4 linked regions of the Alligator mississippiensis genome follow. The protein of the gene in region 3 interacts with the protein of the main gene of each other region in a biochemical or structural test. Links are inferred from orthologs where the notes say so. Each region holds a gene or a part of one and is shown on either strand. Other genes may lie near its edges. The genes, in order: DUSP3, DUSP1, mitogen-activated protein kinase 1 and HDAC6.

Region 1 (7,317 bases), on a different chromosome or scaffold from region 3:
ATGTAATAGCCATAATGAAATGCCATTAGCTTTCAGTCACTCCTAGAATTGGACTCCTCCCACACCTCTATTGGGAAGACATGTTTGAACAAAGGTTTGCCTGGCTATGCCTTCTGTTTGAACCTGCAGTGAAGTCATAATCCTGCAACATCAAAGGACATTTGTGACATCACAACATTGCTGTGGAAATTATGGAATCTTAAATGCCTCATTATTACTACACTACGGACTGTGAAGGAGGAACTGAAGAAGACTGAGGGGAAATTTGGATGGCTTTTCTCTCAGCTACAGCACCACACGTCCTGCTCAAAGTGCCTGCTGGGAAGGAGGAATAACACAAGCCTGTTAGATCCATCCAAAGGCTCCAAAGAAGGAGGATTCCATCTGTGCTAACCACAGTCAGAATATGAGGACTATCGGGAACAATGAAGCTGTTTAGCAATGTATTCATATGAATATATTGTGACTTTTAATGTTTTTCTTTGCAAGGTTTTCATTTGTTGTTCATTTGTTATTGTCATTCTTACAGTAAGAAGATAAATTTGGACTTCTTTTTTACTGCCATCTGCAAATTTTATCAGCAATAATTTTAGATCTTTCCCTGGATTGTTGGAAAATGCGAGAGAGACACAGGCAGCATGAGAGAGCGAGCAGGCCTGAAGAAGAATGCCTGGAAGCATCCTTGACCATTGAGATAAAACTCTTAGTGTTAATCTTGAAGCAGTATTACTTTCACTGGGTGCTTTACTTTCACTACAAGTGCACTTTAATGCACATTAGCCTATTTTAATCCACATTTAAGCGTCATGGAAAAAACTGCTCTGTAGCTAATGCACATTTTTCTAGTACCTCACAATAGAGGTACTAGATTTAATGCGCACTACCTAAAACACATTAATGAACCCGTAGATGTGCCCATTTTGAGTTGCAAAGCTTGGCAGTAGACACAAAGGCAGAGCTTGGTTTTTGTTTAAAAGAAAGGTGGAAACCCTAGGAGAAAGGTGGTTTAGGGTTTAGAAACCCTTGGTTTAGGTAAAAGGTAGAAAATGGGTGCATCTACATGATTTTTTATTATTTTTTGTTATATTTGAATGCCCCCAAATTAGATCAGTGCTATACACATACCATAAGACAGTCTTCCTGTTCTAAAGGATGTACAGTCTAAATAGCTTTAATAGTTGGGAAAGGAGACAGGTGCTGAGAGATTAAGTGACTGCCTAAGGTTATAGCAGGTGAGTGACAAAACAGGGAACTGAATCTACGAGCCGAGTGGCCTGAATAAATATGCTGCATCTGAGAAATAGCAAAGTGCACAAATAACATATTTTCTTAATTATTTGTTGACACTGATATCCTGGATTTGTGGCTGCTGCCTCCACTTTACCTAAACGTTCAAGCAGTCGAGCTTTACTGACCAGAACAGTCACAGAGAACCTGTCAGTCACTGGTCTGCCTGCCTGCATAGGGTGTCTTTTTGCTCTCAGCCAATAGCAGAACAGAATCAAAACCATGACACTTACTTGACCAATCACAAACAGGAAAAAAAAAAATAAGTTAAGGAAAGCAAAAGGTAGGCCCTATGAAAGCCTCCCTTACTATATTAAGAAGTTGTGCATGTTGTTAGATTAGGCAGCCTCACATGTTTGTCAGGACTGTCCCTGTCTCCGCTCCTTCTGCTTTAACGTTACATGAACTTGTTGTACCTGGTCAGTTTAGCCTCCATGCTGCAATCCGGTTTAAGTAGGGCTTTGCATGTCCACACTGGCACACTTAATTGTAGGCTAAAGACCACAAGCTGTAAACTCTTTGGGGCCAGGGCCATGCATCTGAGCAGCACTCAGCTCAAAGGGGCAGCCTGTCTCCACTAACTCTCCTTGGGTGCATCTACACATGCACTTTGCTGCAGAACAGACTAATTAGCTCTGCAGTAAAGAGTCAATGTCTACATGGGTGCTGGTATTAGGGTGCAGTGAACTTATTAACCCTGCGGGAAGATAGTGCTGTTACCAACAGTACTATTTTACTGCAGAGTATTTTACTGTGCCGAAATGCCCGTGTAGAGAGCGTGCAGGCGCCCAGCAGCCAGCTAGGGGCCTGCTCTGCCCTGGTTCAAACCGCTGCTCCCCTGGCTGCGTAGAGATGCTGCACCTGGGAGCAGCGGACAACCTGCTCTGCGGTTTATTCCTTTGCATTTATTTCTCGTGTAGACACACCCGCCGTCAAGTCCCCTCTTCCTGCTTGGCATGTCCTTTTTGACGGCAGGCCGTGCTAGGGGGCCCACACAGTCGCGCAAGCCGGCGACTTTGGCGGGAAAGCAACGTTTCCTCCCATTCGTAGCTCAGGCCTCGAGCGGTCTCCATCAGCTCCTGTTGCTGATGCTTCCCAGGTCCCTGCCTTACCGCCGTCCAGAAACGCGCCCCCTCACCCTGAATCCGGCAAGAAACTCCTCCCGCCCGCCCGCGCCCCAGAGCAAGGCAGTGCCGCTCCTCTACTCTACCTCTGCTCTCCTCCCGAGGCCCGGGGGCCCGCGCCCTACAGGCCTGCCCCCCGGCACCTCACGGCCCCACCGCCCCGACAGCAGCCCCCACCCCCAGGCCCCACGCCCCCCGGCCGGGCCGGGCCGGGCCGGGCCGGCCGCGCTCGGGGGCGGGGGCAGGGCCCGGGGCCCGGGCTCGGCGCACTCACGCGTTGCCCACGTGGACGCGGGGTGCCACCTCGTTGCTGTGAGCGCTGGGCAGGCTGTAGCAGCCGCTGCCGTTGGCCAGCAGGTCGTTCAGCTCCTCTACCGAGATGCGGTACTCGGACATGGCCCGCACCCGCACCGCACCGCACCGCAGCGCTGGGCAGGCCCCGCTCCCTCCGCCCCGAGCCTGATAGGAGGGGCCGGGATCAGCTGGTAGCGGCAGCCGGCGCGGGAGGCGGCAGCTGCTGCCCGGGCGCCCCCTCGCTCCCTGCCCGTCTCCCCCCGCCGGCCCGCGGGGGCGGCTCGGGCCCTGCTCGCGGGAAGGCGGCGGCGTAGGGCACGGCCAGACACCCGCTCTGCGGCCTCCCCGCCCCGTGCCACCAAACGTGAGCTCTTCAAGCGGGGAACGGCCGTGCTTCGCCAGTTAACACCCCCCCCCGGCGCTTCCCTGCTGAGGGGATCGCCTTTCTCAGCCGAGGGAGGCTGCTCTGCGAGGCGCTCTCGGCCGGGCGCGGCGGTGCCCCAGGCTCCTTTCAGAGGTGCCGCGCAAGAGTCGTACTGCCAGGGGGGCGTCCAGGCTGCAGCCGCCTTGCTCTAGAGGGACAGGCAGTCAGGACTTGTAGTAGAGATGATCTCTTTTTATTAGACCAACAAGATTTTGCAAAAAAAAAAAATAAATTTTTTTTTTTTTTGCAAAAGTCTTGTTGGTCTAATAAAAGAGATCGCCTCTACTACTAGTCCGTACTGCCAGGAGTGCATGAAACTGAAGTTGGTTCCTTATTCCCGGTTGCCTGTGCCTTATTCCCGGTTCCTTATTCCCAGGAACCAACTTCAGCCTCATCGGGAGCGCATGTGTCATTCCCAGGACGAAGCTGACAAAGGATTTTGCACGGGAAGCTGTAGTGTTACAAACATGCGGCGCCATTGTGGTCTTCCAAAGTTCCTCACCACAGAAGAATTGTATTATTTTTTTGTTGGCAAAACACAAAAGGGGGAAAAAAAACAACTAAGCTGGCACTTTCTAAAGGGTGCCTCAAGTCTAAAAAAAGTTCACAAATCACTGGCTTAAGCTGTAGCAGCTTCTTTGCCAGGCCTGAAGGAACACACTTTGCACCCCAAAGCTCGAGCACCTCTCCAAATGGGTAAGTTGGTCCAATGAGAGACTGCCTCATCTCAGAAATCCCTGCTTCTTGAGAAATCTCTCAGCGGTCAAGACGGTCTGCCGGCAATCTAGCCTGCACCATCGTGAGTCCTCCCACCCTTTTAGGGGTTCAGAGCAGTAAAGGCTAAAATGGAGACTGGACCGTCTCTGTTGCACCTGCAAAAAGAGTCTGAACACCAACCTCTTGGGACAAGAGAAGGCAGCAGAGCACTAACGAGGTATTGCTGCCAGAGGTGCTTCGACAACCCTAAATTCCACCACAGTCCCTCAAACCATAAGCAGGCAGACTGACTCATCTTGTAAGTATTGATATTGATTTGGGAACTATTTGTGCAGGTCCTAATGTTCAGCCCACTGGGCTACTGAGACCAGGCATTCTGAACTGCTGAACTTCAGAAGTTGGTCTATGAATTTTGAATTTCAAGAGATGCCTAAGGAATAGCTTGAATCAGGTGTCTGAGCTCTTGAGAAGAGTGGAAGATCACTACACGCCCTGAGGTTTTGTGGTGTTCATTGGGTACCTCTAAGCATCTCTGGCTGCTTTTTTTTTGGATTGCCCTTTGGAAGTGGTTAATATTTTTCATTCACTATGTACAGTATCAAGGCACATAAACCTGCATCACTTTTCAGCATCTATGAAACTCCCCACTGACGTTAAAAAAAAAAAAAAAAAAAAGGAAAAGAAAAAAGGTCAGTTTTAATTACCTTCTTGGGGCAGATGGTGAAAGGTATGTGGGAAATACCTGAATCAAGGAACCTGAAACTATTTGGATTCTGGTCTAAGGTTGCATCAATTGCTAGCAGATTTTCATTTTTATTAAAACTGGGGATGATGTCCAGAGCCATGTCTTTGTGCTAGTTGTACCAAAGTGAAGCAGGAGGGTTCTGTTGTATTCTAATGTGTGTGGAAACTCAACAATATCATTATGATCTGCTTAATAAGAACTGTATAGTCTTTTAAAGCAAATATGTTGTTGAACTTATGCTTAAATATTTTTGAAAAGTAGCAAAATTGTGCAATAGTGTGCTTGTTCAGCACGTCTACATATTGGATGCGTTTACACGTTCATTAGTGCGCTTTTGCTACTGGGCATTAAATGTACTATCACTACTAAATGTGCATTAGGCTGCCCTGATGCGCAGTAGTGAAAGCACATGCTTGCTTAGTGACACTTAATGCGTAGTAGCCTAATTTTACTGCGCATTAGCGTATTAGCACAGTTTTTGCTGTGACACTAATGCACGGTAAAATAGGCTACTCTGCATTACAGTGCACATGTAGACACGTCCATTGTGACCCAAACATATATTTTAATAAAAGGACTGTTTCAGAAGTGACAGTGAAAGAAGCCCCCTCCCAATGTGCCTGGGGCCAGGGGCCAGCTGCTGGTACAGCCAGCAGAGCTCTCCTGGCTTCATGCACATTGGGACCTACCCTATCCCCCTTGCCAACCCCAGGGCTAGCACACACACACTGTAGCTCCCCCTGGCTGCTGCAGGGGAACAGAGCTGGACAGAAGCAGCTTTTTACTGGGCTGCTCCCCTTGGGAGCAAATCTGCTCCCAACAGGGTACATGTGTAGACGTGCTTCTGGGGAAGGCTTACTGCACAATATTTTATTTAATGCAAATTAATAGCACATGTAGACTTATGTTGTATTCTCTGAATACTGGATAAGCCAATGGGAGGAAAATCAGACCCATTGTCTGCTTTCCTGCCTTGCCGTTTCTTGCTCCCAAATCTATTTCTTCACCCTTTGACTTTCAGCTCTACTTTTTGTCTAAAACCTGTTGTTTGGCTTGAAATATTAATCCCTTATTTATTTCTAAATTGCCTTCCTGACCTGAATACCATGTACTTGTTTTAACCTTTTACAGTTGATCAGACACTTGCAGTATCTTTTGCTTTATTTACCCTTCCATTACAGTCCTCCTCCCATCTACTCTGTTTTCCTCCTATTGCCTGCCTTAATACCTGGTGAGTGCATCTACATGTGTGGTTTACCATGGAGTAGACTAAGTAGCTGCACAGTAAAGTGTCACTGTCTACATGTGGAGCGGTATTAGGCCACAGTAAACTAATTAACTCTGCTGTAAGATAGTCTTATGGTGGTGTAATTTACTATGATTAAATGCATGTGTAGATGTTGATCACTGGCTTAAATTGCACCCAGCCAGCCAGGGGCCAGACTTCTGCCTGCTGCCAAGCCACACGACTCTGCACTTCAGGACTCTCGTGCCCTAGCCAGCCCCTCCACTGCCCAATGCTACCACCCAGAACCTGGGGCTGATGCTCTAAGCCCCTTGCCAGCCCAGGCCTGCTCTGCTCTGGCTAAAAGTTGCTGCTGTCCTAGGTGCATGTGTAGATGCTGCGCCTGGGAGTAGTTTACTTTGGATCAAATTGCTCCAGAGCATATTGCATCACATTAATTTCATTTGTAGACACACCGGCTGTTAACTACTCTGACTTTTCTCTTTCGTGCTTTGCATATCCTTTTTTAAGACTTCTGTATTTAAGGAACTGTTTTCTCCTTATGCCACATTGTCTAAATTGTTCTTTGACATTTGACATTTCTTCAGCTTTTCTTCTGTGGGTTACAGCAGGACAAGAATGGTTTACATCACTGACTCCTGGTTATTACTGAGGAGCTCAAGGTTTCATTTTAGGTACAAAGTATAAGTAGGAGGAATATGATGAGCAAAGCTGCCAAATCATTATAATTAAGTAGATATAAATGCCCCTTTCCAAAAAAACTGAGTGTCATTCATTAAAAATAGCGCCGAAAAACAATTACTATAACTCTAACAGTATTCCTGTATTGGACCTAATGTTGGCTCTTGGTCTTTATCGGCAGGAAGCAGTGGTTTCTTTAAAATGTTTTAAATTAAAAAGTTGCAGACTTCATATTTCAGGCAGTCTATCCCTTGAGCAGATGAATTCTTGGCTTTGTAGTGAATATTCTGTTTGGTGATTTTTGTTTAATCACCATACAAATTGGTTTCAGATCTGCTCCAAGACATTTTAATGTCTTTATGAAACTATCTCAGCCTGCTTCCTGAAAAGTTTGGTGTTTGGAGCACAAATAATTTATGGTAGATCTCATTTTGTGCAAAAGCATCAGTTGAAAAATTGATCCCTATTGTTAAGGGATTATGAGGATTGAATAATGTGCTGTACAGAATGTACCTTCCTTCTGCAACAGCGCCTGCAGCTTCAATTAGCAACAAGTAAGCACAGCTGTGGAATTACCAGTAATGAAAAGTCTCTTCTTAAAGGAGTTAGGAAGAAGCCATTTTTTTCTCTCTAATACACATATATGCATGCTTCACTGCCCCCTTCAAAGCATACCTTTCTATTTTAAAATGCCCTGGAACTGTTCTGTCAGCTCTTTAATTCAAGGGTAGTAACAGTCATGAGGTCCCAGCTGTCTGGTTGGGCTTAAATATTACAACCCCAGGGGTTCAGTTCCTTT
Region 2 (7,248 bases), on a different chromosome or scaffold from region 3:
TTCTGTTTGTATAAAAAGTAGTAATTGTGTAGCAAAACTATGTCTTCATAAGAAGAAATATATTATTTCACATCATAAATAAAATCAGCAAACATACAACCCTTGGCAACTCAAAAAAGCACTCATCTGGTGCTCTCACGTCAGTGCTTGGGAAGTGGGAACTGTTTAAGATGTATGTACAGGATTACAGTACCAAAAAAAATACTGAGGTATTTGGTTTCTCTAGAAATGAAGCTTCAGGCTTGTGAAGGCAGAGACAACACATTTACATAAAAATAAATAAATAATAGGACTTGTATAAAAAGGGACAGTGTCACTTGCTTTGAATGTCCAGGAATGGAAATACTGGTGACTGTGCTACTTAACACAGACTAGGTTTAGAACTGACAGAAGACAAAGATGGAATAGAAGGAAGCAATGTCCTTTTGACTTCTTGGTAGATGTCCAGATTTGGTCAAAAAAATTCTCAGTCAAGTCAGAATGAACCTAGCTCTCTGGAGCCAGATAAGCTCCTTCCGATTAGTAATAGTGTGTTGTTCTGAATGATGGATGAGCACAATGAGAATGAAAATGACCGATGACACTGTCCCCAGAGTTATTGCACTTCTTAAATAACAAGGGTCAAGTCTCTGAGTTCTGAGCAAGTTCTTATCTGCTTTTCAGCAGCTGGGAGAAGTGGTGATGGGGCTCTGAAGATAGCTTAATGCACTGGATGATGCATGTACAGGGATGGAGACAGGGAAATTGAAGACTGTGGTTGTTGATGCCCCTCTGTCCAATACAGACATGGCTGGGCTTCCAGCTTCTGCTGAGCAGTTTGGGGCTAGGACCTGGGACTCAAACTGCAGCAACTGGCCCATGAAGCTGAAGTTTGGGGAAATGATGCTTCTCCTCTGTTTCACAAACTCAAAGGCTTCATCCAGTTTGACTCTGTTGGTCCGCATGAGATAAGCGAGGCAGATGGTTGCCGATCGGGAGATGCCAGCTTGGCAGTGCACAAATACCCTTCCACCATCGTTTTTAACAGAGTCTGAAATACAAATGATTCATTTAAATGCCTGGGTCATGCTGCTGCAAAAGCTACAGAAACACGCCTTGCTATTTCATGCTATTGTACTTCTATTTAATATTTTACTTCCTTAGCACTCCAAGAGTCCATGGCACTTTTGCAGACAAAATGGACCCCCGTCCTGAGACAGGCAGATAGCAAAGGTTTTGATTCTAAAAACCTCTGAATCAATTCATACCAACAGTTTCCTTTGCCCACAGATATCAATTCCCATCAGTGGATGCAGACTAAATTTCACAGGCTGAATCGGATAACATGGTACAGAAAGCAAACAACCTTCAGGATCCTTTAAGGCAGTGCTTCTCAACCTGTGGGTCATGACTCAAAAGTGGGTCACAAGAATGTATGAAAGGACCATAAACAAAATTTTAAAAAGGAATCCTCCTTCAAAAAGGAGAAAAAGTGTGGGAAGCTATGGCTTTTCCCTTGCAGGCAGGCAAAGTTCCAGCCTGAAAGGGGCTGCTTGGGGCCCCCCATGCCTCATATCCACCTACCCCCTGCCCCGCACACTGGGGCAGGGGGCATTGGGTCAGGACTAGCCACTGATGTTTACAAATGGGTCCTGGTACAAAAAGAGAGAAAAAAAAAGGTTGAGAACTACTGCTCTAAAGATCCTCAGCTCTCAGTAATACAGCCTTCAGGGAGCACCCATAAGGGATAGCTGCTGATTTTCTTTATTTTAAATCCTGAGGAAACATGATGCATCTTAAATTTAGACCCGATTGGGGGAGCTCATCCGAGTTTTCTGCCACAAGGGTAATAATGCCTGCTCAGCGCTTAGAAGCACAGACGCCGGGGAGAGCTCATTTACCTATGAAATCAATGGCTTCGTTAAACCAGGAGCTGATGTCCGCCTTGTGGTTGTCCTCCACTGGGATGCTCTTGTATTGGTAGTGCCCCTCAAAATGGTTGGGGCAGTTAGCCGAGACGTTGATTAACGCCGTGATCCCCAAGGCGTCCAGCATGTCCTTTCTGGAGGCGTGGTAGGCACTACCCAAGTAGAGGAATGGCAGGATTTCCACGGGGCCACCCTGAGAGGAGAGACGGGGAGAGACGATCAGATGGTTGCATTCTGCGATGTCCAACAGCTTCTCCCCCCTTTGCAATCTGCTTGCTTTCCCCCCCGGCCGCCCGCCCGCCCGCCTCCCCCCACCGCTCACGTCCTACCCACCTGGTCGTACAGCGGGGTGCCACACGAGCTGCAGCCCGAGTCGGCGCTGTCGGGCACGCTGCTGGCGCTCAGGGGCAGGCTGAGGCCCGTGGGAGGCGATGGCTTGGTGCACAGCTCGGAGCAGGTGGAAGAGAAGGCTTCGTACCCTCCTGCCGTGGGGAAAGGAGAAAAGCTGGTTTAGGATCAAGCCGGTGCTGAGACGCCTGGGGCTGCCAGGCTGGGCTGTGCCCTCAGTTTTGCCCCGACCGCCCCTGGCAGCGGGGGTAGGGAGCCGCGTCCCCCTGCCCCGATCCCGCGTGCCCTGCCCCGATCCCGCGGGCGGCGCTCACCCTTGAGGAAGCAGACGCGGGTGCCGCGGGCCTCGCGGCACAGGGCGCTGGCGGCCAGCAGCAGGGTGCTGTCCCGCGCCGGCCGCTCCAGCTCCAGCTCGGCGCTGCGCTCGTCCAGCAGCACGACGGCGCGGTAGTGTCCGCGCAGCAGGCGGGCGCGCAGCTCCTCGTTGGGCACGATGTGCTCCAGCCCCATGGCGCCCTTGGCGCGGCGCCGCACGATGGTGCTGAAGCGCACGTTGGCCGAGCCCAGGATGTGCGAGGAGCTGAAGGCGAAGAAGGAGCGGCAGTCCAGCACCAGGCACGGCGCCGCGCCCTCCTGCAGCAGCTCCCGCAGCGCCGCGCACTCCAGGGCGCACACGTCCATATTCACCATCACTCCAACCCCCAGGGTAGCTCCGTGCTGCTGCGTGTAGCGTGTGTCTGTGTGTGTCAGGCCCACCACCGCCGCTGCCTTATATAGCCGTCGCCCCGCCTCGTTTGAGTTATGAATGAGGCCCGGCCCATGTGACCGCCTTTGGGGGGGGCGACGTCACTTTGGCGGGGGGCCAGTTCTACGCGCCCCGCCCCGCCCCGCCAGCAGCACTGACGTCATTGGCAGGCAGCCGCTTGCGCTCCTGGTGTTCTCTGCGAGTCGGGGCACGTGGCGGCGCCGCCCGGGGCTGGGGGTCGGCCAGGGGCGGCCTGTGGGCTCTGAGGGAGACCAGGGCTCCTTAGGAGTGTCTCTCACCTGCTCCAGAAACACTCGCTGGCCCCCTGGTGTGAGGGCAGCGCGACAGCCCCTGCCCCCTTGTGCTGTGAGCTCTCCTTCCTGCTGCTCTGCTCTCTGCTGTTTTTACAGGGGGCATTAGGGGCGTTTATTGTAAGGGGAGGCTCGGGTTTCTTAATGGAAAGCTTATGATAGAGGATGTATATATATATAGATATAGATATAAAACTCTCTCTATATAGAAATATATTTCAATTTTTAAAAATGTTTTTACAAGGACTTCTTGGCCCCTTGAAAGCTCAGATCAAGTGTAGTGGCTTCTTAACCTGGCAGGGGAAATACCAAGGACTTGTGTCCAAGAAGGCAGCTTTCCTGAACCCACTCGCAGGAGAACTGCCCTTCTGGTGTGGGTCAGTGCCCACCGAGGTGCAGCAGCCTTAAGCTCAGTTTATGGAAATGGGAGTCTCCTCCCTTGCTTGCTCCGAGGGCCTTATGGCTGAGGGCAAGCACAACTCGGGGGCATCTGAACCTCAAGCCTCTGGGCTGGGGCCTGCAAGTAGGATGCCCACCAAAGGTGTTAGAAACATCTGAAGCCCCAGGTGCAGGTGGAGGATGTTTGCCGGTAGTAGGGCCACTTAATGGTTCTGGACTCTTGGATTTGGAATTAGTTTTGGCTAATTCGGCCTTGGATACAAATTCTATATATAAAAAAATGTTTTTACAGGGAAACACCATTTATCTGGGTCCCTGAAGGCAGTTTTCCTTAAGTGTTCCCAGGGATAACTGTTCTTCTGGCGTGGTTTAGTACCCGCCAAGGTGTTGGGGCTTAAAGCCCACTTTACGGAAATGAGAGGCTCCTCCCTAGCTTGCTTCTGCAGCCATATGGCTGAGGGCAGGCGAAACTAGCGGGCACCTGAACCCCAAGTGTCCGGGCTTGGGCCTGCACATAGGATGCCTGCCAAAAGACTTTGGAAATATCTGAAGCCCCTGGTAGGGGTGGAGGATGTTTGCCGGTTGTAGGGCCACTTATGGTGCTGGACTGATTCATAGATTTGGACTTGACTTAGCTGATTTGCCTTGTTAGTAAAACATTTTTTTTTATGTTTTTGCAGCTCAGGGTGGGAGCAGGGATCTTTTGCTTCTTCACACTCACGCCCATGCTCCTAGCATTGCTTACAGCTCCACGTGCTCTTTGCACAGGCTGTGGAAAGGGTGGGTTCAAAACAAAGTGTGAGGGAGTGTCTAAGAAATGGCCTCTTCGGACACACATCTTGGCTACGTAGCCTATGGTGGGGAACTTGGCTACGTAGCCTACAGAGGGGGGAACAGTCCTCCTCCTTCAGTGCATTTCAGGCAGAGAAAATGGGGGGAAAAGCCTGGGCCCATTTGCTCAGCAGGCTCAAAATTCCCACAGAAACCAGTGCTGTCGGCTACTGGCAATGAAGCCAGTCAAGCTCTGGTTTTCCCCCCTTTCGCCAGTGCAGCGAGGCTTCCCAAAAGCTTTTTCTCCTCCCAGCGGGTGATTAGCTCCCAGGGTGTTTCTTATGCAGGGCTTCCAGTCATGGTGAGTTTCACTTCCTCTGCCCCACGGCTCAGCCTCTGAGCCTGGTCTTGCAGCCTGTTTCTCTCTCTTCTGTGCTCTCCGTCGCTCTGTACCTGGTCCGCTCTGCCTCTGCTTCCTCTTTCCTCCTGCCCCTCTTTGCAATTTCTTTCTTCCAGTCGTGCCCCACACACCGTTCACTTTTCTGTTTCCTTCTCATCACTTCTTTGCATTCAGCCCCTTGAACACCACTGTTCCCTACTCAAACAGCCTGTGCCGTGCCCTCCCATGTCCCTGACTGCCACACTTTTTCTGGGACTCTCCACAACTCTACCCCAGGCTCTTGCCAGTCTGAACTTTCCAGTCTAAACCATTTCCTGGCCAGTTTGGAAATAATCAGTTTTCCTTAAAACTTCCCCGAACTCTCTCCTCCAGTCCTTGCCCGTCTGTAATCCATCCCCCTAGAATTTTCTAGAAAATTCTCCAGTCCCCAACTCGTGTCTGACCAAATGCTCTAGAAACTTCCAGGATCTTCTTCCCGGGTCTTGTCGCTCATTAATTGACCATGGAATTGCCTCCATTTTATCAAAGCTTTCGATGCTGAGCAAATCTGTTTTCTCGACGCTCTTCAAACATAAACACAAGAGTTGTACTTTTTCATGCCTGATTATTTATTATTGTTATTATCATAACACCATAAGTTAGAGACAGATTGTGATAAAAACAGTCATATGTTTCGCTATTGGGAAATCATTCCACTCCCAGCCCACTGTCATTACTCTATTACAAGGGCCATGGAGGCAGTTTACAGCACATCATTTCCAGTGAATCATTAATGTCCCGGCAGACATGATCGGTGAAATGTTCCACTCATCAGAGTGCCCGTTTGATGAGAAGGTAACAGAGTCTTTCTGTTCACATGTGTGCGAGGCAATTAGCAAGTTGATCCTATCAACCTTCATCACAGCTCACTTAAAAATGTATCAACCAGGGCAGCCACATCTCTTCTCTTCTGGGAGAATAATAGTAATAATTATTTAGAAACACTTTCATATAATCTTTTCACACAAAAGCAATCTATGAAAAATAGGCCCAAACCAGGGACCTTTATTCAGTTTATTGTCTTTTCTTGGGCAGAACACCCTCTTGCTGGTGGGGGCTTCAGGAGTTTGCCTATATATTAGTGTATATCCAGCAATCGCATTGTTCCTCTGAAAGGCAGAATGCAGTAGTGGTGTAATGTGGTGCACTGCAGCAGTTTAAGACAGGCAGAGGAGCCTGTATCCAGCTGAAAATGCAACAAGGATTTAGGCAAGAAGAATGTAATTCTGAGGCAGACTTTGATTAGGATACCGGGCATAATAAACAGCAAAGAGATTGTTAGTGTCCATGAGCCAAGAGGTCAGGACTCAGAACTTCAGTTTAATATCTCCTCTAAACTACACCTTTTTTTTGTTATCAACAGAGTACCCCTTAGTGCTGTGGTCAGGCATGTATCTGGCCAGCCATGACTCAAGAAAGCAATGTCATCTCCTTATCACCAACCCTAATTTCTCCAGTAGTCTGGATGATGATGTGGAGGTCACAGGACTGACGGTTCAAATACTCTTCCACTCAAGCGCTGACTGATTACCAGGGATTACCGTATGCTATGGAAAAATGCGGTAAAACCTGGATTTTCTCCTTCAAAGGAGAAGAGTGTGGGAAACGGTGGGTTCCCCTTGCAGGCTGGCAGAGTTCCAGCGTGCAAGGGGCTGGAGGGAGTGGGAAGAGAGCGACCAGGCAGGGGGCACTGCATGCATGCGTGCTCATGCGTTCACATAGCCACCAGGCAGCTTGGAGAGCAGCTCCTGGCAGGTAAATCAGGGTTGTGGGGGAGGGAATTGGGGATTGAGGCCGACACAGTGGGAGAGGGAGGGAAGGAGTTGAGCAGGGCTGGGGCGGTGAATGGAGCTTGGGGCCCGGGGCTGGAATACGCAGCCACAGGACTGCAGGAGGAGCGGGACGGGGCACAAGTAGCTCCTTCAGGGGTGAGTGGGGGAGGGGGGCTGGCTTCCCGCTCTGCACGCACTCCTGGGAGGGCATAATGGTCATGTGTCCCCCAGTTTTGTGCATAGGGCTAGGGTAGGCTACCCACTGTGGGCTTGGGCTCAGGCTCCCTGCCTTGCTGCCCTCCCCTCAGGGCCTCCGTGGCCCAGCGGGTGGGACCCAATATGGCAGGGCAGAGTGGGGCAGGGAAGCTCACTTGCTGCTGTGAGCCCCACACTGCCATAGCAAGGTTTCCCATGCCCGCCTAGCAGCAGCAGGGGTGACAGCACGGAGTTGCACCCCTTGCTGCTGTCGGGCAGGCAGGAGGCACCTCACCATAGCAGCATGGAGCTCCTGGCAGCGGTATTGAACTTCCCCACCTGACCCCACTCTGCCCTGCTG
Region 3 (7,826 bases):
TGCCAGGGCGTAACGGGTTTGCAGCCAGCTCTGAGGCAGGCCCGATGCTGCAGCTGAGTCAGGGGTGGCCCGGCTGAATGGAACGAGTCCCGCTTTACCGCCCCCCCTCCCCACCGAGGGAAGCCAGGCGTGTGGGGCCTCACCTTGGAATTGAGCATGATCTCAGGGGCGCGGTACCAGCGCGTGGCCACGTACTCGGTGAGGAAGCCTGTGTGGTCGTGCTCGGGGTCAGCGATCCGGGCCAGCCCAAAGTCACAGATCTGGGGGTGGGGGAGGACAGAGGGCATCACACCACAAGTACGGTGGCCTGGAGAGAACAGATATGCCCAATACAGGGGTTTGGGGGGCTCGATGGTGGCCTGGAGGGGACATTACAGCCCCAACTTTGGTCTCTGGGGTCCTATGGTGGCCTGGGGGGAACATTAGGGCCCCAGAGGTGGGTTTAATTTTTCTACAGCGGCCTGGAAGGGCCAGATATGCCCCATACAGGGGTTTGGGGTCCAATAGCTGGGTTTTATGGGCTCTATGGGGCACAGACATGGGCTTTGGCGGTCCTACGGTGGCCTGAAAGGGGCATTGGGGCCCCAGAGGTGGGTATCATGTGGCTTGGAGGGGACATATATACCCCACACGTGGGTACTGGGAGTCCTGCAGTAGCCTGGAAGGGACCCGCTAGCCCAACAGATGGGTTTCACAGGTCCGACGGTGGCCCGGAGGGGGGACAGAGGCCCGAAGGGCTCATTTTGTGGGGTATGGTGACCCAAAGGGGACACAGACCCCCAGAGGTGTGGTTGCTGGGTCCTACAGTGGCCCGCGGGGGCCACCGATGCCCAATCAGTGCCTTGTATGTGTCCTGCAGTGGCCCAGAGAGGCCACAGCACACCCAGAGATCGGCTCTGCGGGTTCCACAGAGACATCGGGTACGGTGGTCCCCTGAGGACACACAGCCCCGGACAAGTGTTTTACGGGCTACAGTGGCCCGGCAGGACCCCCCTGCCACCGCACCTTGAGATCGCACGTGGTGTTGATGAGCAGGTTGCTGGGCTTGAGGTCACGGTGAAGGACGTTGGCCGAGTGGATGTACTTGAGGCCCCGCAGGATCTGGTAGAGGAAGTAGCAGACGTGGTCATTGCTCAGCTGCTGCGTCTTGAGCAGCTTGTAGAGGTCCGTCTCCATCAGGTCCTGTACGATGTAGCTGGGTGCGGGGGTCAAGGGCCACGGTGGGGTGGGTGGCTGGGCATAACCGGGTCCCTGTAATGCAGCTGGCTCTGGGGTGGGGCTGAGGCTGAGTGTAACATCAGCCTCCACAATGCAGCTGCTCTGGGGCAGGAAGTCAAGAGCTGGGTGTAACGGGGCCCCATCATGCAACTGGCTCAGGGGTGGGACTTTGGGGACTAGCTGTAAGAGGGCCCCTATAATGCAGCTGGCTCTGGGGTGAGACACTAGGGGCTGGGTACAACAGCCCCCACTCCCCATAATGCAGCTGGTTCTGGGCTGGATATACTAGACGCCCCTGCCGCATAATGCAGCTGGCTGTGGGGTGAGAAACTGGGGCCCCCCCGCCCCCACGGTGCAGCTGGCTCTGGGGCAGGCCTGGCAATAACAGCGCACTGCCTCCCCGCTGCGGCTGGCTCTGGGGTGGGACCCCTCCCCCCCGCGACGCGGCTGGCTCTGGGGCAGCGGATACACATCGCGCATCTGGTCGAGGCTGGGGGCACGCAGGATGTCGTTGATGCCGATGATGTTCTCGTGGCGGAAGCGCAGCAGGATCTTGATCTCCCGCAGCGTGCGCTGGCAGTACGTCTGGTGCTCGAATGGGCTGATCTTCTTGATGGCCGCCCGGGTCTTCGTTACGTGGTCGTAGGCTGAGCTGGGGGGGAGAGCATGAGCGACACAGACTCAGCTACGGCTCCCGCCTGGGAGGGCACCAGAAACGTACGGGGAGATGGGGCCGCAACAACTTGGGAGGGCCTGGAGCAGAGGGCGCCATAAATGTAATGGGGGGGAGCGGAGATGGCACTGACCCGAGTACACCCCCACCCTCCCCGCCCAGGAGGGATCGGTGGCACAGGGCACCGGAAACGTAAGGGGAGACGGGCTGCGACAACCAAGGTTTGCGGCAGAGGGCTGACGGTACAACAGCAGCCTGGAGGGAACGAAGGGGCCAGGGTAACCTGGAGGAGTGCTGCACCGGGAGCAGGGGGGGGGGCAGAAATGCAGTGGCGTACGGTGGCCTGGAGGCAGCGGCAAAGGCCTTCATAAATGTAACAGAGACGATTAGAGTGGCCTGGCGAGCCATAAATGTAATGCTGAGCTGAAGGGAGCCCATTGCCCACAATGCAGTGGGGCACAGTGGCTCGCAGGGGTTAGCTCCCTAGGGGCGGAAATCTACGGTGTCCCAGAGGAATCTTTCCGGGGCCCCACTGCCCCTACGGGGACCTAGAGGGGTCACTTCCGGGGTCCCATTGCCCACACGGGGGATAGTCGGGGTCACTTCCGGGGTCCCACCGCGCGTACGGCGGCGCGGAAGAGTCAGTGCCCGCAGTCGGGCCGACTACGGTGGCCCGCAGGGGTCCGGCCGGGCCGGGGGCTCGCTACGGCGGCCGCGCAGGACCAGCTCACCACACCATGCCGTACGCGCCCTCGCCGATATACTGCAGCTCCGTGTAGCGCGGCCCCACGTCGAAGGCCTGTCCCTTCACCGACTCCACGCCCAGCTTCGGCGCCCCCGGTCCCGCCACCGGCCCAGCCCCGCCCGGGGCTGTCGCTGCCGCCGCCGCCGCCATCGCCGCTGCCGCACCCGGAACCGCCCGGACGCAGCGCGCAGGCGCCGCTGCCGCCCGGCTGCCCTGAGGCGCCTGCGCACAACGGCAGCGTGAAGCTGCAGAGCAGAACTGCTGCCCACAGTGCTCAACCCCGCATGCGCGGGAACAAGAGAGCCTGCGCAGAGCGCTGCAGTGACGCTGCGACTCTACCCTTACTGCCTTAAAGCGCATGCCCACTGGCAGGAGGGGCGGGCAGAGAGGTGCAACACCTGCGCAGAGCGACAGGAGGAAGCCTCGCCCAGCCGCTGTTGCCCTCACTGAGCTTAGTACGCATGCGTGGCGTTCCGTACCCAGAAAGGAAAAGGAGGTCGTTCGGCGCCTGCGCAAAGCGCCGGAGTGAAGCCGCGCTACCCCGCTGCCCTTAGTCGGAAGAGACCGCCCACTGGTCTTCTCGCCCGCCTGCTGCCGCCCGGCCCCTAAGCTAGACAGTGGCTCCACCCCCAGGGTCCACAAGCCCCGCCCCGGCACAACGCCCCACCCCCTTTCTTACTACCCACGCCCTCATCCGTACTGGCCCCGCCCCTCCCCCGGCGCTCCCACAGATGCGAGGCCGAGCCCAGGCGCGTTTCCCATAATTCTTTATTCCCGGGCGGTGCCGGGCGCCGCTCGCTGCTGCTCCCACTGCTCCGGCGTCAGCGTGCGCTGCTCCAGCGCGTGGATGTGGGGCAGCTCCTGCGCCAGCGCCTCGTTCACCAGCCTGCGGGGGGGCAGGGTCAGCCCGCACGCCGCGGCTCTCGGGAGGGTGGGGGGAGAAGGAGGGGGGGGCGTGTCTCACCGGTGCCGCTGCAGCAGGGGCTTCCCCCGGAACCGGCCCGACACCACGAGGACCCGGAAGGACGTGGAGCAGCGCTCGGGGGTCGTGTCCTCCACTTCCTGCGCGGGAAGCGGAGCAAAGGAGACTCAGGCGTCCACCCCCCCCAAAACAACCCGGGCGTCCCCGGCCCCGTGCCCCCCGGGAACCCAAGCACCCCCCCACGCACCACGTGCTCCGCCTCCAGCTCCCGCTGCAGCCGCTCCCGCACCGCCTCTGCGCTCAGCGCTGCCATGGCCACTTCCGCCTATGGTCCCGCCCCCACTTCCGCCTACCGCCTCGGTTCCGGCCTCTAGCTCCCGCCTTTTCCGGCCAGTGGCAGCGAAGGGCGGCCTTTCCCCGCTCTTTTCTCGCCTCTCCTGAGGGCTCGGCCAATGGGCGGGCGGAGCGACCCGTCCCGCCCCCCCCCGGGCGCCTGCGGCCAATCAGGGAGCGGGGGAGGAGGAAGGAGGGCGGGGATTGGCCAGGACGCACGCGCCGGCGGCGGGAGCGGGGTTCGTGCCGGTTGGGGATGGCGCAAGGGGTGATGGGAGTGTGGGCAAGGAAGCGGGGCATGATGGGCGATAGGGCCGCTGAAGGGGGAGCAGGGCATGGTGGGCTGCATGGCTGGAGCAAGGGGTGATGGGAAGTTGGTGTCTGAGGGGATGATGGGAGCAGAGGATGCTGGGACATGAGTCGGTGAGAGCAGCGCAGGGCATGGTGGGAGCTAGAGAAGCAAGGGATGCTGGGAAATTGGCACAGGAAGGGCAGCGGGGCGTGATGAGACGCGTGGGAGTGGGGGTGGCAGGAAACAGGCCCCCAAGGGGCCGCCCCTGACCCCGCCCCCATCTGCCTGGCAGGCGGTGCCATGGCACCAGCCCCAGGGCGGGGCTTCCGCGGCGTGTACCTGCTGCTGTGCACGCGCCCGGAGGGGCGGGGCCGCGTCTACGTGGGCTTCACGGTGGAGCCGCGGCGCCGGGAGCGGCAGCACAACCGGGGGCGGCGCTATGGCGGCGCGCGCCGCACCAGTGGGCGCGGGCCATGGTGAGCCACCGTGGGGGGCGGGGCTACTGCCCAGCATGCCTTGTTTTCAGGAAATCACGCTCCTGGCATGCTTTGCTGCTAGGGACCTGGTTCCCAGCATGCCTTGCTTTATGGGCCTGCCCTCCAAGCAGGCTTTGCTCTACATGGGTTAGACTCCCAGCAGGCTTTGCTTTAGGAGGGCCAGGCCTCTAGTATGCTTTGCTGGGAGGGACCAAGCTTCCAGCATGCTTTGCTGTAAGAGGACCAGGCTCACACCATGCTTTTCTGCAAGGGACCTGGTTCCCAGAATGCTTTGCTGAAAGTGGCTTAGACCTTTTGCTTGAGGGAGGACTAAGCTCCCAGCATGCTTTGCTTTATGGGCCTAGCCTCCCACCTGGCAGGTAAAGCTCTCAGCATGCTTTGCTGCAAGGGATCAGACTCCCAACATGCCTTGCTTTATGTGCCTGGCTTCCCAGCATGCTTTGCAGCACAACCACCAGACTCCCAGCCTGCTTTGCTGTGAGGCACTGGTGTCCCAACATACTTATACTTGTCTGTAGCAGCACCAGTTTCCCAGCATGCTTTACTCTGGGGGTCTGGCTCCCAACATGCTTTGCAGCAGCAATTCCCAGTATGCGTTGCTCCCCCCCCACAGGGAGATGGTGCTGATCGTCCATGGCTTCCCCTCCAATGTGGCTGCCCTCCGGGTGAGTGCCCCGCCCCCTGGAGGGCACTGGGGCCTAGTGGATGGGAGCAACAAGGCCTAAGGGGTTCAGGAGCCCAGAGGCCTGGGGTCCTTGGGAGTGGGCGGGGGTGAGAGCAGGGAGCCTGGGCACTCTGGGAGGGGGGCGGGGCTGGACCTAGGGATTTAGGAGCCTGGACACCTGGTCCTCACCCCGGTTTCCCCTCTCTCTCCGCAGTTCGAGTGGGCATGGCAGCACCCTGGGGCGTCGCGGCGCCTGCCCCCCGGCCCCGCCCGCCGCCCCGGCGCCCCCCTCGCTGCCGCCCTGGGGGTCCTGGCCCAACTTCTCCGCGTCCCCCCCTGGGACCGCCTGCCCCTGGCCCTGCGCTGGCTCCGCCCTGGCCGCCTCCCGGCCCCGCTCCCTGACCTGGCCCCGCCCCCCCACGTGCCCATCACCTATGGGCCCTTCCCTGACCAGCCCCGCCTGGCCCACCAAGCCCTGCCCCCTCCGGCCGTGCCAGGGGTCACCTGCCAGCTCTGCGAGGGGCACTTCCAGGTAAGCCGGCCACCCGGGGTCTCCCTCCCACCGAGGAGGGGCGGAGCCCGGACACCAGGGGTCATGGAGGGGCGGGGCTAGGAGCTTGGCTGCCTGGGTGCTCCCTCTGCTTCCCCCCCACCCACAGGGCGAGGTGGATGCCCCCCTCCGCTGCATCCAATCAGGCTGCCCCCTGGCGGCCCACCCACCCTGCCTGGCGCGCTACTTCCTGCAAGACGAGCCGCATCAGTTCCTGCCGGTGGAGGGCCGCTGCCCCTGGTAGGTGGAGGGGAAGGGTGGGGGGCGGGCTCTTGTTTCCACACCGACTACTGACCCCCACGTTCCCCCGATAGCTGCAAGACGGTCGTCCTCTGGGGTGACTTGATTCGCTCCCACCTGGGTTACCGCGACAACCCTGAGGACGACCTCTGCTCCTCCCAGGTAAGCCCTGACCCCCCCCCCCATCTCCAAGCCCCACCCCTCGCCGCGGGCCATGCCCTCTGACCCCTCTGCCCCTTCCCCAATGCAGGGTCACTGGACAGAAGAGTTGCAGGCTGAAAAGGCGGGGCCTCAGGTGGAGTGGGTGGAGCCAGCTGCCAAAGCCTCCTGAGTGGGCCTCATGAATGGCTGGCGGGTTTCCAGAGACCTGGCCCTCCTGGCCCCACCCCCATAAGCACCCAGTGGTCACCAGGGACAGGAGGGGGCGGCGACACGGAAACTCCTCCCCCTCCCAACCACCAATCAAACGAAGCTTCCCTTTTTCAACCCTCTACCTTGAACACAGATCTTGCCCCCTCCAGAACCAATCAGGTGCCAGATCTGGGTTGCGCGTCACCAGCCAGCCCCACCTGCCCACCCCACCAATCAGGGGCCTTCCCTGATCCAGGAAGCCCTGCCTTCCCCTCCTCTTGACAGGGAACTGAGACTTAATTAATAACTTTCCCTCGTCAGTGTGCTACAGGGAATTAAATATGCAAATGTAGGTTGTTGCATTTGCATATTTAACTCCCTGTAAGCCGTTGATGAGGAAAGCTTATTAATTACAGGTCACTAATCACTTCTCATCTTCGCTTTCAGCCTATTGGTCTATGCTTCATTTCCCCTCCCCCAATGCTGTAGCTTGTCCTTAAGGGAAACTACAGGCAATCCAGGTTACTAATTAAGCCCAGGTTAATTAATTAAAGATCGTTCATCAACTGTCAGCTCTGCCTTCATCCTCTCTTATTGGTCTATGCTTCATTTCTCCTCCCCCAAGGATGTAGCTTGTCGTTAAGGGAAACTACAGGCAATCCAGAGGTTACTAATTAAGCACAGGTTAATTAATTGGGATGAATCCCAGGTCATTTAGGTTAATTGATTAGGGATATATAACAAGCCAGCCATTAAGTCTCAGTGTTTCATTTCCCCTCATTCAATTATGTAGCTGGTGGGTAAGGGAAACTACAGGGAATGAAGAGGTTAACTGATTAGGCACAGGTTAATTAACTAGGGGTTTCACAAACGATTAATTATCAAGCAGTTAATTGCCTCAGGTCCCCCTCCCCCTCCCTCCATATGGCCCATCCAGAAGGGAAACTGAGGCACAATCCATGAACCTCCCCCCTGCTAATCACTGACTAATTAGCAATTAATTAGGGAGAGGGTCTTAATTACCCCCCAGTCAGTCCCTCCTGCCCCCTGTATTGGCCCCTGGGGCTTCTCCCTGGAGTAGTTCTGGGATAAGGGAAGCTAAAGGCCATCAATTGGTTAATTAGTGATTAATCAGTGACTAAATACATTAAATGAATTAGGAACAGGCTGTTAATCATCTCCCAAGATCCCCGCCCCCCTCCCCATATTGACCCCCAGGGCTTTCTGCTCCCTGCAGCTCATTCATAAGGGAAGCTAAAGGCCATTGGTTATTAAAATAGGTGATTCATTAGTAATTAAATACATTAATTAGAATCAGGGTGTTAAGTATCTCCCAACTCC
Region 4 (6,998 bases), on a different chromosome or scaffold from region 3:
GTGCTTCATCCCACCCCTCCCCTGCTAGGCCTGTCCTCTTGGGCCCCTAAGTCCAACCCCTATAACCCCCCACCCTTAGAACTCAGGCCCCACCTCCAGCCCCTTTTCCCATCCCCTTAGCCCCACCCCCCAGACCTCACTAGCCCGTCTTACCGGATCAGCGCCAGCCCATTCCTCAGCTCCCCACTCAGCACCTTGTCAACCACGGCCAGGACAGTGCCGGCTGCCAGCCGCGCACAGTGGTATGAATTCTGCAGGGGTGGGGATGGTGAGGGACCCAGGCATCGAGGTTCCTAGCCCTCCCTGCTTTCACCCACCTCTCCTGCCAGAGAACCCAGGCATCTGGGCTTCAAGCCCCCCGCCCCCAAAATCTGGGGCTTACCGGATGCAAATAAACTGAATCGTAAGTGTCTGAGAGGGCGCGGAGTTTACCCTCCTCCATGTCGGCAGTTGAGGCCATGAGGGCCAGGAACTGGGGGCTGCAAAGTGAGGAGGGGGTCATGGTGCCCCTCACTCCCCTCCTTACTCCCAACCTGCAACCCCCCCCCAAACCCATGGACCTGCAGTGCCCCTCACCCCCAGTAACTCTCTCACCTGTGTACCAGCAGAATCTCCTCTTCCGTAGCCAGTCTGGCCTGCAAAGAGATAGCCCTAAAAAAACCCCCAGGCATCCAGGCTCCCAGCCCCACACCCCTCCCAGAGAATCCAGGTGTCTGAGTTCTCATCCTCCCTACCCCACCACTCTCACCTGCAGCCTCTCCTCCACTCCCAGAGAACACAGGCATCTGACTCACCTGCACAGGGACACACCTCTCCACCAATCCATCTTCCACCAGCTTGGTCCAGATGGATGTCAGCCGGGCTGGGCACTCAGGGAAACTGCAGCAATAAGGGCAGAGTCAGGAGGCTGTGGGGTAGGAGTGAGGGGCACTGTGAAGCTATGGGGACACAGGTATCCAGGTCCCCCAGCCATTCTCCACATTCCATGAACCCAGACATCTGGGCATCTCAGGCTCTGGTAGACTCAGGCATCCAGGTCCCCCAGTGAACCCAGGTGTCTGGGATCCCCTCCATGAACCCAGGTATCTGGGTGCCCCAGCTCCCTCTGTGGATCCATGGCCCAGTAGGATTCATTATGGGTCAGGAGTGAGGGGCACCCTGGGGCCATGGGGAGCACTGCAGGTCAGGTGTGAGAAACACCAATATGGGTGGGGTTGGGGGGTCAGGAAGAGACACAAAAGGAGCAGGGGTGGGAGGGACCAGGTCAGCCAGCCAAACCCAGAGTAAGACTGGGGAACCGAGGCTGATGAGTTGATCCCAGATTCTGTCACAATGATGGGGACTCATAGGTGGGGGGGAGAGAGTTGTAGGCCAGGCTAGGGAAATCAATCCCAGACTGGGACTGGGGATCCTCGGGCTGACCAGTTGATCCCAGATCCACCCCCTCCATTACAGAGATGGGGGGGGGAGCAGGGAGAGACAGGACAGAGCCCAGGGTAACAAGCCAAGCTCAGAGTGGCACTGGAGTCCCAGGCTGGTGAACTGATCCCAGATGTGCCACCCTTAGAGATAGAAGTTCATGAGGGAGCTAGGGCAGCACAGGAGCTGCAGATGAAGGGAGCAGCTTCCCTCACCTCTTGTCCCAAAGGCAGTGAAAGCTGGTGAGCTCCTTATCATAAGCAAGGCCTGTCCCTGAGGGCACTGGCTTCTCTGCAGCCAGATCCTGGAGGGGGGGTAGAGAAGGACACAGGAGATAGTGAACTCAGACTTCCAGTATCTCCCTCCCAACATAATACCCTGCCTCACTGCCCTGTCCAGAGCAGGAGAACCCAGGCAGCTGGGGGCTCCCCAATGGCTCCCCTACCATCGAACCCACCAGGCCCCTGTCCCCTCCCAGCAAGAAGACCAAGGCATCTGGGCTCCCACCAACCCCCATCCCCCCCACCTCCAAAATGACTCAGGTGTCCAGGCTCTTCCCCTGCCAAAACCTTGTGGGGACACAGGCCTCCAGTTTCTACCCCCACTCCATGAGGCGCAGGTATCTAGGCCGTACCAGGTGCTGTAACCCATCCTGGAGCTCGGCCACCTCTTGATGCAACCTCCGGGCACGGCCGCGCCGCTTTGCCTCAGGGAGCCCTGGGCTGCGGCGGGGAGGGGGTGGTGCCTGCCGACCAGCCCGGCCCTACAAGGGGATGACAAGACAGACTGCAGAGCTCTGGCCACACTACCTTGGGATCAAACCCACCCCTTCATGTCAGGCCACACCCACACGGCCCGGAAATCCAGCTCCAGTGGTCAGGCCACACCCACTCCTGGCTCCCCTCCAGCTTTACCTCCCTGAGAGAAACAGGCACCATCCTTGGCCTCCAAGCCCCGCCCACCTGACCTAGGCCACACCCCAGGTCCTTAAGCCCCACCTCCAATCTTCCTTACCCGCAGGCTCCACCCCGTTCTGGCCCCGCTCCCTGAGCACCAAGCTCCTCCCACAGCCTGGCCCCGCCCCATTTTACTCCACCCTGTCAGTTTCCCCCCCCCATCTTGGCCCCACTTCAGTATCATAAGCCCCACCCCTCCTGGACCCCGGTACCGGGTTTCAACTCTCCCAGCGTGGTACCCACTCCCCATAACCATATGGGGGGGGGGCAAGTGGTGGGGCGGCTACTTTACCGACGGTGCCGGGGCGCTGGGTCCTTCAGGCCCCGGAGAGACCCCAGGGGGCATCGCGGCGGCAAGGCAGGGAGGATTACAAGTAGGCGTGAGAGGCTCCGGGTTGGGGGGAAATGGTTTCATCTGCTCCCCCCCCCCCTTCAGAAAGATGGTCTCTCCCGGGCGCTGCCGGATGGAGTCAGATTGGCCTGCCCTGAGCGAGACCATTCGTACCGCGCGGGGCAGGCAGAGCTGGGTGACACAATTCCCCTGCACATGCGCACTTAGAGGGGTGGGAGAGACCATTCACCTCAGTAAAGGGGGAAGGAGACTGGGACTTTCCCAATGCTTGGGTGGGGGCCGGGTACTACCACGGACACTAGTTGAGGGCAATTAAAGGCAAAGTACCAGTATCTTAAAGAGACAGACTCTTTATTGGGGGGGCTGGGGTGGGGGGGGACCTGGAGCCCCATGACCCCTAAAACCCCTGACTCTCGGCACCTGCTTCCCCCAAGGGTCTCACCCATCAAGAGCCCCTCCCCTCGGTGGGGGCGGGACTAGGCAAGAGCCTGGGGGTGGAGCCAGGGAGCAGGCCAAAGCAGTGACTCCACCCCCTCAGGCTGGGGAATGTACCTTTAGAGGTGGTCCGGCAGGTGGCATTGGGGCAGGATATGGCTCAATCCTTCAAACCCAGGGGTGGGGCTTTACCCATGGCCTCTACCCCCTCAGGGTCAGTGGGTGGGGTCCAGCAGGTGGGGGTCATAGTCAGAATGTAGCTGCACCACTCAGTCCTGGGGGCAGGTTAGGGAGAGGTGCTGGGTCCAGGCTGTGACTCCACCTCTCAGGCCAAAGAGGTAGGGCTGGGCTGGGGGCTGGACCTAGTGGATGTGGGATAGGGCCAGATCACATCCCTGACCCTCAGGCCAGGGAGGAGCCAGGGGTGGGGTAGGCGGTGGGGCCCAGCAGGTGTGGGGTGGGGGAGAAGGGCAGCAGGTGGACCACAGGCCCCAGGGCATAGAGAGCACTAGGGTCCTCGGCTCCTAGGGGGGACGGGGTCAGTAGCTCCAGCGGGGCAGGGCCCTCAGGGCCAGGCAGGGCCCGGACACCTGGCTCTCCACTGCGGCGCTTCTTGCCCTTGGCTGAGACTTTGCGGTTCCGTGTCTGGATCCCATCCTTGCGCATGGTCAGTGGCCGGTTCACCTGCAGGGAAGGGGTCATGAAGGGATCCATGCATCCAGGGGCCAAGAGGGATTCAGGTGTCTGGGATCCCAGCCCCCATTCCCCTCCCAGAGTTGGTGAAAGAATCCAGGTGACCAGGACCATGCCCCATCCCTCTGCAATCCCCCCCATCAGGGATGTAAACCCAGGTGCCCTGAGGATGGAACCCAGATATGTGAGTGGTCCCATGGTGGGAACCCAGGCATTTGGACCTCTCCAGGGATGGAACTCAGGCAGCCCTGGGGTAGGAACCCAGGCATCAGGGTGGCCTTGGGAAAAGGACCCAGGCATCTGGGCCTCTCCAGGGATGGAACCTAGGTACCTGGGCAACGACAGGATGAGAACCTAGGCATTTGGGCCTTCCCAGGAAAAGGACCCAGGCATCCGGGCAGCCCTGGGGTAGGAACTCAGGTGGCCCTGGGGCAAGAATGGGGGGGCACTCACATTGTGGAGCTTGTAGTACAGGCCGCAAGCGTTGCAGACGGGCTGCCCGCGGGGGTCGCGGCGCCACAGTGTTGTGGTCGTGGTCTGGCAGTTGCTGCACTGGGTCCCTGCTCGCTTGCTCACCACCTGGAGGTGGGGGGGCAGGGGTCAAGTGGTGGGGGTCACAGGGTCCCCATGGTGTCTGGATGGAGTCCCTAGGGGGTATGGGGATTCCAGGAGGGGTTTGGAGATCCCCAGGGGGCATATGGGAAGCCTGGTGGGGGGTCTCTCACCAGGTGTTTCCAGGGAACAAGTGGTTGGGGGTCCCATGGATGGGTGCATTGGGAGCATGTATGTGGGGGAGAAGAATGGTCCATATTGGGAGTCTGTGGGGGGGAGGGTGTATTGGGAGGGTCCATGCCAAGATCCCTGGGGGGTGGTTTGGAAAACTCCATGTGGAGGTCCTTGCAGGGGATGTTGGGAGGGTCCATGTTAGGGATCCAACCCTAGGGGGTAAATTAACACAGTTCATGTTGGTGGACAGTCCATGGTGTGGAATGGTCCATGTTGGGGGTCCTAGGCAGAGGCCTGGGAGAGTCCATGTCAGGGTCCTGGGGATGATGCGGATGTTTCAGGGTGGGGGGTTGTTATAAAAGAGTGCATGTGGAGGTCCCTGGGGGATTGGAAGGGTCCATGTTGTGGGTCAGTGGAGGGAGTGAATTAGCAGAGTCCATGTGGGAGGACAGTGTGTGGAATGGTCCATATATTGAGGGTCTATACGAGAGTACTGGAAGGGTCTGTGTGGGGGGTGTATAGAATGGTCCTAGCTGGGGACCCAGGAGGGTGTATTGGGAGGGTCCTGGGGAGGGTTGTAATGGGAGAGTCTGTGCAGCGGTTGGGAGGGTCCATGTGGCAATCCCTGAGGGACTGTATTGGAAGGGTCCATAGGGGTGTATAATGCTCCATGTTAGGGATCTGGGGGGAGAGCATGGGAGAGTCCACATGGGAGTCACAGGTGGAGTGTATCAGAAGGGTCCATGAGGTGGGGGGGAGGGGTAGAAGGGATGTATTGGAAGGGTCCACAAAGGGATTCTGGAGGGGATCTCTCACCAGACGTTTCTTGGGGCGGATGAGGGGCCGGTTGGCACCGTTGACACGGTGGTACAGCCCACAGGCATTGCATAGGTAGTGCCCGGTACCATCCCGGCGCCACAGTGGTGTGGCCGTGGCCCCGCAGTTCACGCACTCCCGCGCCTCTGTCGGGGGGAGACATTATCTAGGGGGTCCCGATCCTGCCCAGCCCCAAGTGCTCTATGTCCCCTCCATCCCCCTGCCCAATCTTGGTAAGAGCTTATACCCTCCCCCCAACCAAAGGGCCCAATCCTGGGGTGGGAGGCAGAGAAAATCAAGGAAGGTCCTGATCATGGATGTGGGGGAGACAGGGAACCCAATCCTGGGTGCGGGCTGTGTAGCTCCAATTCTGGCTGGGGGCAGGTGGGTCCTGGTCCTAGTCTGAGCGAGCCCTCAATCCTATCTGGGGCAGGAGGGGGGAGCCCAATCCTGACTCAGGGGGAGTCTGATTCTGGCTTTGGGGAGTCCCAATCCTGGCTGGCACAGGAGGGGAGGTGCCTGATCCTAGCTGAGACTGAGGCAGATGGGGAGAGGACTCACCACATGATGCCAGGGGCAGGCTGCCCCGGAAGGCAGGGGGGTAGGCGGGGCCAGGGGGTGCCAGGTAGGCCAGGTCAGGGGGGCTGCCATAGCCCCCGCCCAGGCCCAGGCTCAGGCCCAGGCCTAGCCCCAGCCCCTCAGTGCCCCCCCCCACCCCAGGACTGGGCCTCTCCGTCTTCAGCATCTCCAGGAAAGTGGGGCTGTCCCGGGCCTCAGGGGGGGGTGGGGGTGAGGGAGGGCCAGGGAGGGCCTTGCTGTAGCCCCCTGGGGCCCAGCCCCCCGCAGTGAAGGCTGAGCCCTCCCCCCACGGCAGCGCTCCCAGCACTGGGTACAGCTGGCAGCCTAGGGAAGGAAAAGAGTGAGGGTTAGTGCCACCTTGGGGTGTGCAGCATCATGGCAACCATGATGGGTAGGTGTCATGGCAACTGAGGCTGGAGGCTGTGATGTGTAGATTGGTGTAAGTGCCATGATAACGGGGGTGTCATGGCAACTGAAGGAAGCTGGGGTGGTAGGTTGGTGTGGGTGTCATGGCAATGGCAAAGGGGATTGGGTATTATAGCAACCACAAGAAGGCTGTTATGGCAACTGAGGCAGGAAGCTGGGGTGAATAGGCTGGTGTCTGTGTCATGGCAACTGAGGCAGGAAACTGGAGCAGTAGGCCAATATGGGTGTCATGGTAAGCCTGGCGGGAATGGGGTCCCATGACAACTGTGGGGGCAGGGCAGGCAGAAGGATGACTAGGGTGGGTGTCATAGGAACCAGGGGCATTGGGCAGTGGGGTTTTGTCAAAACAACATGGGCAGGGAAGATAGGCCAGGGTAGATGTCATGGCAACCATGGATGAGGGATGGGGCATGGATGTGGGATGGGGATGGGAACCATGATGGGAAACCATGACAACAGGGTAGATGTCATAGTAACTGAGGAGGTTACCATAGCAACCGTGCTAGGGAAGGTGGGCAGATTGGGATGGGTGTGATTGGGGGGGGCATGGCAACCCCCAGGGGTCACAGCAGGTTGGGGGTGGGGAGAACCTGGTA

What was found.
Region 1: of the proteins of mitogen-activated protein kinase 1 (region 3) and DUSP3, one has a biochemical effect on the other in vitro, tested with the Homo sapiens proteins (2 studies listed by BioGRID and IntAct). The link is inferred for Alligator mississippiensis from reciprocal best matches to the Homo sapiens genes MAPK3 and DUSP3.
Region 2: of the proteins of mitogen-activated protein kinase 1 (region 3) and DUSP1, one has a biochemical effect on the other in vitro, tested with the Homo sapiens proteins (2 studies listed by BioGRID and IntAct). The link is inferred for Alligator mississippiensis from reciprocal best matches to the Homo sapiens genes MAPK3 and DUSP1.
Region 4: the proteins of mitogen-activated protein kinase 1 (region 3) and HDAC6 form a complex in vitro, tested with the Homo sapiens proteins (2 studies listed by BioGRID, with this or other methods). The link is inferred for Alligator mississippiensis from reciprocal best matches to the Homo sapiens genes MAPK3 and HDAC6.

What each region holds. Positions count from the first base shown.
Region 1 is NC_081827.1:153,368,391-153,375,707, forward strand, and holds the start of DUSP3 (dual specificity protein phosphatase 3), read right to left. Parts: upstream 3,012-7,317; 5' UTR 2,808-3,011; coding exon 2,686-2,807; intron 1-2,685. UniProt on the Homo sapiens protein: Shows activity both for tyrosine-protein phosphate and serine-protein phosphate, but displays a strong preference toward phosphotyrosines. Specifically dephosphorylates and inactivates ERK1 and ERK2.
Region 2 is NC_081832.1:61,872,934-61,880,181, forward strand, and holds the start of DUSP1 (dual specificity protein phosphatase 1), read right to left. Parts: upstream 3,018-7,248; 5' UTR 2,946-3,017; coding exon 2,570-2,945; intron 2,390-2,569; coding exon 2,241-2,389; intron 2,101-2,240; coding exon 1,881-2,100; intron 1,031-1,880; coding exon 660-1,030; 3' UTR 1-659. UniProt on the Homo sapiens protein: Dual specificity phosphatase that dephosphorylates MAP kinase MAPK1/ERK2 on both 'Thr-183' and 'Tyr-185', regulating its activity during the meiotic cell cycle.
Region 3 is NC_081830.1:836,533-844,358, reverse strand, and holds the start of mitogen-activated protein kinase 1, read right to left. Parts: upstream 3,012-7,826; 5' UTR 2,997-3,011; coding exon 2,623-2,996; intron 2,445-2,622; exon of another isoform or gene 2,330-2,444; coding exon of another isoform or gene 2,229-2,329; intron 1,871-2,228; coding exon 1,688-1,870; intron 1,196-1,687; coding exon 1,006-1,195; intron 261-1,005; coding exon 144-260; intron 1-143. Other genes in the region: bolA-like protein 2, read right to left, coding at 3,405-3,522, 3,601-3,698, 3,806-3,871; structure-specific endonuclease subunit SLX1, read left to right, coding at 4,484-4,659, 5,294-5,345, 5,559-5,876, 6,004-6,134, 6,209-6,296, 6,385-6,465.
Region 4 is NC_081831.1:28,539,998-28,546,995, forward strand, and holds the start of HDAC6 (histone deacetylase 6), read right to left. Parts: upstream 3,020-6,998; 5' UTR 2,953-3,019; coding exon 2,668-2,952; intron 2,183-2,667; coding exon 2,054-2,182; intron 1,724-2,053; coding exon 1,635-1,723; intron 908-1,634; exon of another isoform or gene 880-907; coding exon 795-879; intron 636-794; coding exon 595-635; intron 480-594; coding exon 383-479; intron 252-382; coding exon 154-251; intron 1-153. Other genes in the region: CDK20 (cyclin-dependent kinase 20), read right to left, coding at 3,565-3,846, 4,309-4,434.